2 linked regions of the Callithrix jacchus genome follow. The protein of the gene in region 2 purifies or fractionates together with the protein of the main gene of each other region. This does not show direct contact. Links are inferred from orthologs where the notes say so. Each region holds a gene or a part of one and is shown on either strand. Other genes may lie near its edges. The genes, in order: SMARCC1 and CARM1.

Evidence for each region.
Region 1: the proteins of CARM1 (region 2) and SMARCC1 purify together in Homo sapiens (affinity purification with western blotting; 3 studies listed by BioGRID and IntAct, with this or other methods). This does not show direct contact. The link is inferred for Callithrix jacchus from reciprocal best matches to the Homo sapiens genes CARM1 and SMARCC1.

The regions. Positions count from the first base shown.
Region 1 is NC_133516.1:30,460,852-30,464,753, forward strand, and holds the start of SMARCC1 (SWI/SNF complex subunit SMARCC1), read right to left. Parts: upstream 2,742-3,902; 5' UTR 2,641-2,741; coding exon 2,443-2,640; intron 2,293-2,442; exon of another isoform or gene 2,099-2,292; intron 1-2,098. UniProt on the Homo sapiens protein: Involved in transcriptional activation and repression of select genes by chromatin remodeling (alteration of DNA-nucleosome topology).
Region 2 is NC_133523.1:10,039,614-10,043,515, reverse strand, and holds the start of CARM1 (histone-arginine methyltransferase CARM1), read right to left. Parts: upstream 2,473-3,902; 5' UTR 2,362-2,472; coding exon 2,139-2,361; intron 1,699-2,138; exon of another isoform or gene 1,501-1,698; coding exon of another isoform or gene 1,479-1,500; intron 1-1,478. UniProt on the Homo sapiens protein: Methylates (mono- and asymmetric dimethylation) the guanidino nitrogens of arginyl residues in several proteins involved in DNA packaging, transcription regulation, pre-mRNA splicing, and mRNA stability.

The sequences.
Region 1 (3,902 bases), on a different chromosome or scaffold from region 2:
ATTAAAAATGAATCAAAAAATGACACTACCAAAGTCATGTTTACTGAGACTGAAACTGTAACTGCTCTGAAAATGCAGCAGTATTAAATCCAATAGAACCAATCTTTTGGTTTTTAACCAAATAGAAATGCATTGTGTAGAAAAGAATCAAAGAACCTTCTGATGGTATTTTCACCACTTTAACAGTAACACCCAGAGACTGAAAAGATTCTGGCTGTCAAGCCTAAGGTATACATGATTCTGAATCTGAGTAGACCCTAAAAATACTCTCTGGCTTTACAAGTTCAGAGAGGTCAAAGGTAACTTTGTCTATAAAGTCTCAGGTACAGTGAGTCAACATTACCCAGGTGGTCTCAATACTGCCAAGCAATTCCTCAAACTGCTTTGTAGCCACTTCCCTACCCGCCCAAACAAATGCCTGAAGGATTATCCATGGCTAAAGCTTCTTGTAGTTGGTCCCAAACTGATGCACACTGAAGAGTCTGGAGAGGTAGAAATTACTGAAATTTGCCTTTTTCTACTCTGTTCCTTGATATTCAAAGGAATATGCCTCTAGATTACTTTTCTTTGTTAAATCTCCACTGAATTTAAGACCCAAGCACATTCACCTGTGTGCTTCAATTAAAAAAAATAAAAGACCCAAAGCTTAGATGAGAAAAAAAAAAAAAAAGACCCAAAGCATTGGCTAAAAGGAAAACATATTCAATTCCATTAGCCACTTCTAGAAGCTCTATTACCCACATTTAAAAAGTGACCAATTTATCACTGTTTAAGAAAGGGCAATATTCTTAAAAATGTACAGTCTAAATATAACTTCAGAGGGAGGGGAAATCTAAGCACCTAAAAATACAATTATTGTCTCTCACTTCCTCAAACTTCAGATAAGAAATGTAATTTTTCTAGCTAACCTTCAAGAAAGAAAAGAGAAAGAGAAAGGAGCGTGGGAGGAGAGAGAAAGGAGGGAGGGAGGGAGGGTCGGTCATTCCTTTTTTTTTTTTTTTTTTTTTGTTCTTGTTTTTGAGGGGGACAGAGTCTCACTGTATTACCCAGGCTGGAGTGCAATGGCGCCATCTCGGCTCACTGCAGCCTCTGCCTTCTGTCTTCAAGAGATTCTCCTTCCTCAGCTTCCCAAATCGCTGGGACTACAGGCATGTGCCGCCACACCCAGCTAATTTAGCATTTTTTCTGGAAAGACGGGGCTTCACCTTGTTGGCCAGGCTGGTCTCGAACTCCCGACCTCAAAATCCGCCCACCTCGGCCTCCCAAACCGTGCCTGGCCAGAAATGGTCACTTCTGAATAAACCACGTGTAATGCCAAAGGAACCCAAGATCCCTGCCCATGCCTAATAACTGCCCAACACCGACAGGCTTCACTGAGCTCTAGAGGCCAAATAAATAGGTTCCTAAACCAGTTTATCTTTTCATTCATTCAACAAATATTTACTAAGCAGCTATTCAGGGTAAGGCAGTAAGTATCAGCGACGTTCCCAGATACACTGCAGTGAACAAAGCCTTTGCTTTAGTGCTATGATCCTCAATGGGGAAAAGTACAGAACTGAAGAGGGTGCTGGGAAAATTTCAGAGGCTGGAGGAGGCTTTTTGGCTACCTGCTTCATTACACCCTTTAAGGGACTCTTCCTGAATATTTACACAAAGGGGAAATTTTTAAAAAAGCATTTCTTATAAACAAGGGATTAAGTCAAAACTTTGAAAACTACTGACTCGGCGGAACTTCCATTCTAAAGGTAGGAGAAATAAGTAAATGAATAATTGATTTCAAAATCTGGTAAACATTACAAAGAAAAAAAGGTAACATAAGGAAAGTGCTCTAATAAAAACTGGGTTCTCGGGAAAGGCCTCCCTGAAGAACCCCTTAAGTACAATGAACATTAACTCTCACACCACACCGAACCAGAAGTATAATCAGGTAAAAACCGTTGTTTAATAGAAGTTCACATCCATCCTATATAATTCATATTAACCTGTTAGTAATTAACGAATATAGTCATCCCAGTTTAGTTGTTTAGGAAATCAACAACAGGTAGCAAACCCCCTCGAGGCTTTGAATACTCTCTATAACAAAACTTAAAGCTTTTACCACGCTTGCTCAGTCTTTAGGGATCATTGTTCAGACACCTAAGGCAGCTGACGAAAGAAAGTCACACTCTCCCAGTGGCTAAGCTCGACCTGCTCTGGCACACGAGAATGAGCAAGGGCTTTCTCCAGGAATGCGTGGGTTCAGAGGAGCGAGCCACGAACCCGTCAAGCCCCGGGCGCTCGGGCGCCGAAAGCGGACGGCGGGGGCGTGGCGGGCCCAGCGCCTGCCTTTGTTGTCCCTCGTGGCGCGCGGAGGGGGAGGGGCGGCCCGGGGCCCGCGAGGCCAGCTGCCGCCTCCCGCCCCAGTCGCGTGGTCTGTCGGCCCCCGCGAGCGCGCGAACCCACCTTCTTGTAGTGCTTGCCCAGCCATACCCGCACTGAATCCAGCTGAGACACCGTCTCCGGGCTCTCCCAAAACTTGGTGGCCGGGCCCCCGTCCTTCCGCCGATAAACGGCCAGGCCTGCTGCTACCGCAGCAGCACCCGAGCCCGTGGAGCCTACTGCTGCCCCTGGGCCGCCACCGCCGCCCGCTACTGCAGCCATCGTCGCCGCCTGTCGCCCTCACCGCCTGGCCCACCCCGACCCTTGCGGTGCTTCCCGTTCGCTCCCGCGCGCCCTTGCGCGCGTAGCCGCCACCGCCGCCTGCCGGCCCCGCCCAGCCAACCCCCTTCCGGCGCGGACGCCCGGCCCCGCCCCATCTCCGGACTGGCGCCGTATCCGTCGCGAGCCCGCCCACACGCATGCGCAGCTATTCTGCGGCCCTGCAACGATTTCCAGTCGCCTCTTCCGCCAGCCTCCGTAGGCTGTGGACGTTCTCGCTTACTGAGCGCGGGTCTTTGAGCTCCTTGCTCTTCTCTCGCTACAGACGTCCAATCATGATGCGGTCAGCAACCGCAGGTGGGTTCTGTGTCATCGCCTGCTCTGCTGGACAGAAAAGGCCTGGTACGAGAAGTGCCGAGAGGAAAGCCTGTCTAGGGTATCCAGTGCTGGCCGAGGACCCTGCGCGCGGACTGGGACTGCGCTGGGCTCAGCTTTCCGGCAGACCCTCCACCCGGAGCGGTCCCGCGGCATTTTGCACAGCCATCTGGGATGCCCATGCCTGAACTTAATGGCTTCACAGACCTTCCCCTCCCTCATGGCTCCAGCCACAGCGGCTCATTCCTGCCCCAGGGGCCCTGGCACCGGCTGTTTCCGAGACTTCCAACAGGTCTTCCCTTCTGATTTTCACTTAAGAGACGCATTCAAATTCACTGCTTCAAAGCACTTCAGAAAGTCGTCAGATCTTAAAATCTTGAATAACTATTCTCAACCACACATTTTCTCGTAGCGCTCACCACGATCCGGTGTTTCTAGTTTCTCACCTTCCACATAAATTACATGAGAACCTAATCTTGACTTGTTCACAGGTGTAACCTGAACACCTGGGACAAGGAATAAGATGTACAGTAAATACTTGATGAATTAATGAATGGCCCACATAGAAGCAGAATGATTATTAATTATTAACAAGGTATGAGGCTGGGCACGCTGGCTCAAGCCTGTACTCCCAGCACTTTGGGAGGCCGAGGCCGGCGGATCAGCTGAGGTCAGTAGTTCGAGAGCAACCTAACCAACATGGAGGAAACCCCGTCTCTACTAAAAATACAAAATTAGCCGGGCATCGTTGTGGGCTCCTGTAATCCCAGCTACTAGGGAGGCCGAGGCAGGAGAATCGTTTGAATCCGGGAGGCAGAGATTATGATGAGCCGAGATCGCGCCATTGCACTCCAGCCTGGGCAAAGCGAAACTCCGTCTCAAATAATTAA
Region 2 (3,902 bases):
GAGGCTGAGGCAGGAGAATTGCCTGAACCCGGGAGGTGGAGGCTGCGGTGAGCCGAGATCGCGCCATTGCACTGCAGCCTGGGTAACAAGAGCGAAACTCCATCTCAAAAAAACAAAAAACAAAAAAAAAACTAAAACTGTTCTAAAAGTTGTGTTTTGTTTTGTTTTTTGAGACGGAGGCTGGCTCTGTCTCCCAGGCTAGAGTGCAATGGCTCAGCTCACTGCAACCTCTGCCTCCCAGGTTCAGGTGATTCTCCTGCCTCTGCCTCCCTAGTAGCTGGGACTACAGGAACGTGCCTCCCTGGCCAGCTAATTTTTGTATTTTTAGTAGAGACAACAGGGTTTCACCATGTTAGTCAGCCAGGTCTCAAACTCCTGACATCAAGTGATCCTTCCACCTTGGCCTCCCAAAGTGTTGACCCACGGTGCCTGGTCCAAAAAAAAAACTTAAAGGTTTATTTAAAAATCATAGCCAGGGCCGGGCACAGTGGCTCACACCTGTAATCCCAGCACTTTAGGAGGCTGAGGCGGGCCGATCATGAGGTCAGAAGTTCAAGACCAGCCTGGCCAGCACAGTGAAACCCCATCTCTACTAAAAAAAAAAAAAAAAAAAAAATACAAAAAATTAGCTGGGCATGGTGGCGAAGGCCTGTAGTCCCAGCTACTCAGGAGGCTGAGGTAGAATTGCTTGAACCCAGGAGGTGGAGGTTGCAGTGAGCCGAGATAGCACCATTGCACTCCAGCCTGGGAGACAGAGTGAGAATCTTTCTCAAAAAACAAAACAAAAAAAAGATAGCCAGCTCTCCTGGAACTCCTTTGAGGATAAGCTCCGGGACCCTAGTTTTAGAAATGCTCCCCCACTTTGTTCTGTTCAGGACAGAACTATCTACCAATTCTTCACCAATGAATAGGTTTTGTTTGTGATCTGGGGTTCTACTGAGCTGAGTGTCTGCCTTGAACTCTGAAAGCCCCCCTGAAATATCCTCCTTCCCCTCTCCTCATCTGGTTCAAGAAGACCCAGGCTCTGCCCCAGCAAAGAGACGGCACCCTTGTGCAGCAGACACGGCTCCTTTAGTCCACGTTCTCAAAGTCGAGGTTCAGGGAAAACCCAGTGTGAACCGACTGCTCCTCGGGATTTCCGTTAATCGGCCCATTCCCAAAGTGGCAAAAAATTCACACGGGACCCAAGCCAGCTAGAGGCCTCCTGAGGGGCTCACCAGGGCATCAGTGCCAGAAGCCCAGAGAGACAAAGCCAAATGACACAGAATAGCAAAATGTGAACCAGGAATCAAAGAGAAGAGATAAGAAGAATAACAAGAAGAATGAACTACAAAGACCGGGGGCGGTGGGGGCGGCAAAAACATTTGTGATTTTCTCCCGCCCCACCATCCCGTGAAATGTCAGTTTTGAAAGCAGCTTCGGAAAATGTAACCAGCGTCTCACATCCCTGGTGAAGGGATGGGAGAGAGCTGTGTTACCTCTTACTTCCAAGCCCGGCATCAGGAAGGGGCCCCGCCAGTTCACGTTTCCACCAGGAGCTCATCCTGCGGCTCCCACCGTCCACGCATGGGTCCTCTCCCCAGGTCCCGAAGTTTCCCTCTCGGGGGTCCTAAACACCATGCCTTTCACAGGGGTGGAACTCGGTCCTCCCGGGCAAGCAAACACTTTCCGACCGTCCTGAGCTGTCCAGGGGTCCCCAGAGAGAATTCCGGGCCGCCCACGCCCCACCCTGCTCCCTGCAGAGGCGGCCACGCCCGCCCCCGAGACGCCCACCTCTCCTGCACCCCAAGCCTCCCTACCCCACGCTTAAGCCCCCCATGCCCAGCTTCCTTCAAATTCCCCTTCCACTCAGGGCCCCCCACTTCCTGCCCACCCTCCCCTCTCAAATCTCAGGCCCCTCACTCCCCATTTCCCGCTTCCCTGCTCACTCCGGGTACCTCGCCCCTCCGGCCACCACGCACGCCCTCTTTTCTCTGTCTGATCTCTGGCACCCGCCCTCCACGCGCCCTCCCTGCCGGCCACGGGCTCGGCCCCTGGGACCCCACGCCAGGGCCCCGGGCCCCTCCCTGCCGGCCCCCGCCCCGAGCCGGCCTCGTGCGCACCCCGGCCCTGCACCCGCCCCGGGGCCCCGCACTCACGGCTGTAGAGGGCGATGCCCGCCGCGTCCGGGCCGGCGCGCACCTCGAGGCGCAGCGCCTGCTGTTCCGCGTGCCGCTGGATCTCGCCGTTCGCGTCGCCGATGGTGAGGAGGCGGGCGCCGGGGAACACGGACACGGCCGCGCAGGGCCCCGCGCCGCCCGGACCCGCCACCCCCGCGCCGCCCGCGCCCGGCCCCACCGCCGCCGTCGCCGCCGCTGCCATCTTAGATCCGGCTCCAGGCCCCGCCGTCGCCGCTGCGCCCGGGCCCAGGTCGCCGCCGCCGCCGCCGCCGCCGCCGCCGTGCAGGCCGAGGCCGAGGCCGAGCCGGGCAGCGCCGCCTGCCGGCCACGCTCCGCCTCGCTGCCGCCGCCGCCACCGCTGCCGCAGCCCGGCCGCGTGGTGCTGCGCCCCCTGCCGGCCACCCTGGGCGCGGGGAGCGAGCGAGCGCGCGAGCGCGCGCCAGGGAGCGGGACCGCCCCGCCCCGCGAGAACGGTCGCCGCTTTGTGAGGTGGCTCCGCCGCCCGGAACAGAGGGGCAGGAGTGTGCGTCGGGGCGGTGCTCGGGCTGGCGGACACGCCCGTCGGAGACCCGGGCCCCGCCCCCAAGCCCGCGCCTCCTTAACGGCCGCGTTGGGTAAGGCGGCGCGGGGGCGCGGAGACGCGGAGACGGAGAGGCTTTGCTCCGTCGCACGGACACGCCCTGAACCCCGCCCTGGACCCCGCCCCGCATGAACGGCCGCCCTTTGTGATGCGGCTTCCCGGCCCCAACCTGGACACGCCCCTGACACCGGGCTCCGCCCCCCGGGCCCGCCCGGCTTTGTGAGGCAGCCCGCAGGGAGGCGGGGCCCGGCCGCTACGATGCCCCGTACCTGCCCGCGCCCTCCCGACCGGACTCGCTTTGTGAGGCGCCCCGCTCTGGGAACGGGCTTGGGGGGGAGGCGTGGTCAGCACTCGGGGCACGCCCCCACTCTGTGGCCCCGCCTCCTGGTCTCCCCGACATCGACCGTTTCCGAAGGGCCTCCGCCTCCTAGCGCAATCTAAGCCTGGTTGAAAGGACCTCTTCCCGTCTTTCGACCGCCCCTCCTTCCTTCCTTATCATCTCTGCCCCCCACACTCCCTTCTTCATCCTTAAAGTTTTTTTATTTTTTTTATTAAAAAAAATTTTTTTTTTAAATAAAGACGGGGTTTCACCATGTTGGTCAGGCTGGTGTTGAATCCCGACCTCAGGTGATCCGCCAGCCTTCGCCTCCAAAGTGTTGGATTACAGGCGTGATTCCCACCATGCCCGGCCCATCCTTAAAGTTTAACTCCTTTCGCACAAGATATCCTTGACCCCCTCCTCTCTGAGCCGTTCCTCCAAAGATGCTAAGTCCAGCCCAGCCCGGCGCTGGCACCCTCTCCCGCAACACAAACCCCTGTGTCTCTCTGCATCCCCCCTCACTTTCGGTGGCCCCATCCCTTTTGGGCCACCTCCCAGCACCCCAGCTTTAACTCTCCCCGAAACCTCATTTACGCCTCCTTCCTTTTTTAAAAAAACAAAGCCTCGCCCTGCGGCCAGGCTGTAGTGCAGTGCTGCGATCTCAGCTCACTGCAACCTCTGCCTCCCGGTTCAATTCCCCTGCCTCAGCCTCCCGAATAGCTGGGGCTACAGGCGAGCACCACCATGCCCAGCTAACTTTTGTTGTTGTATTGTAGTAGAGATGGGGTTTCAGCATGTTGGCCAGGATGGTCTCAAACGCCCGACCTCAAGTGGTCTGTCCGCC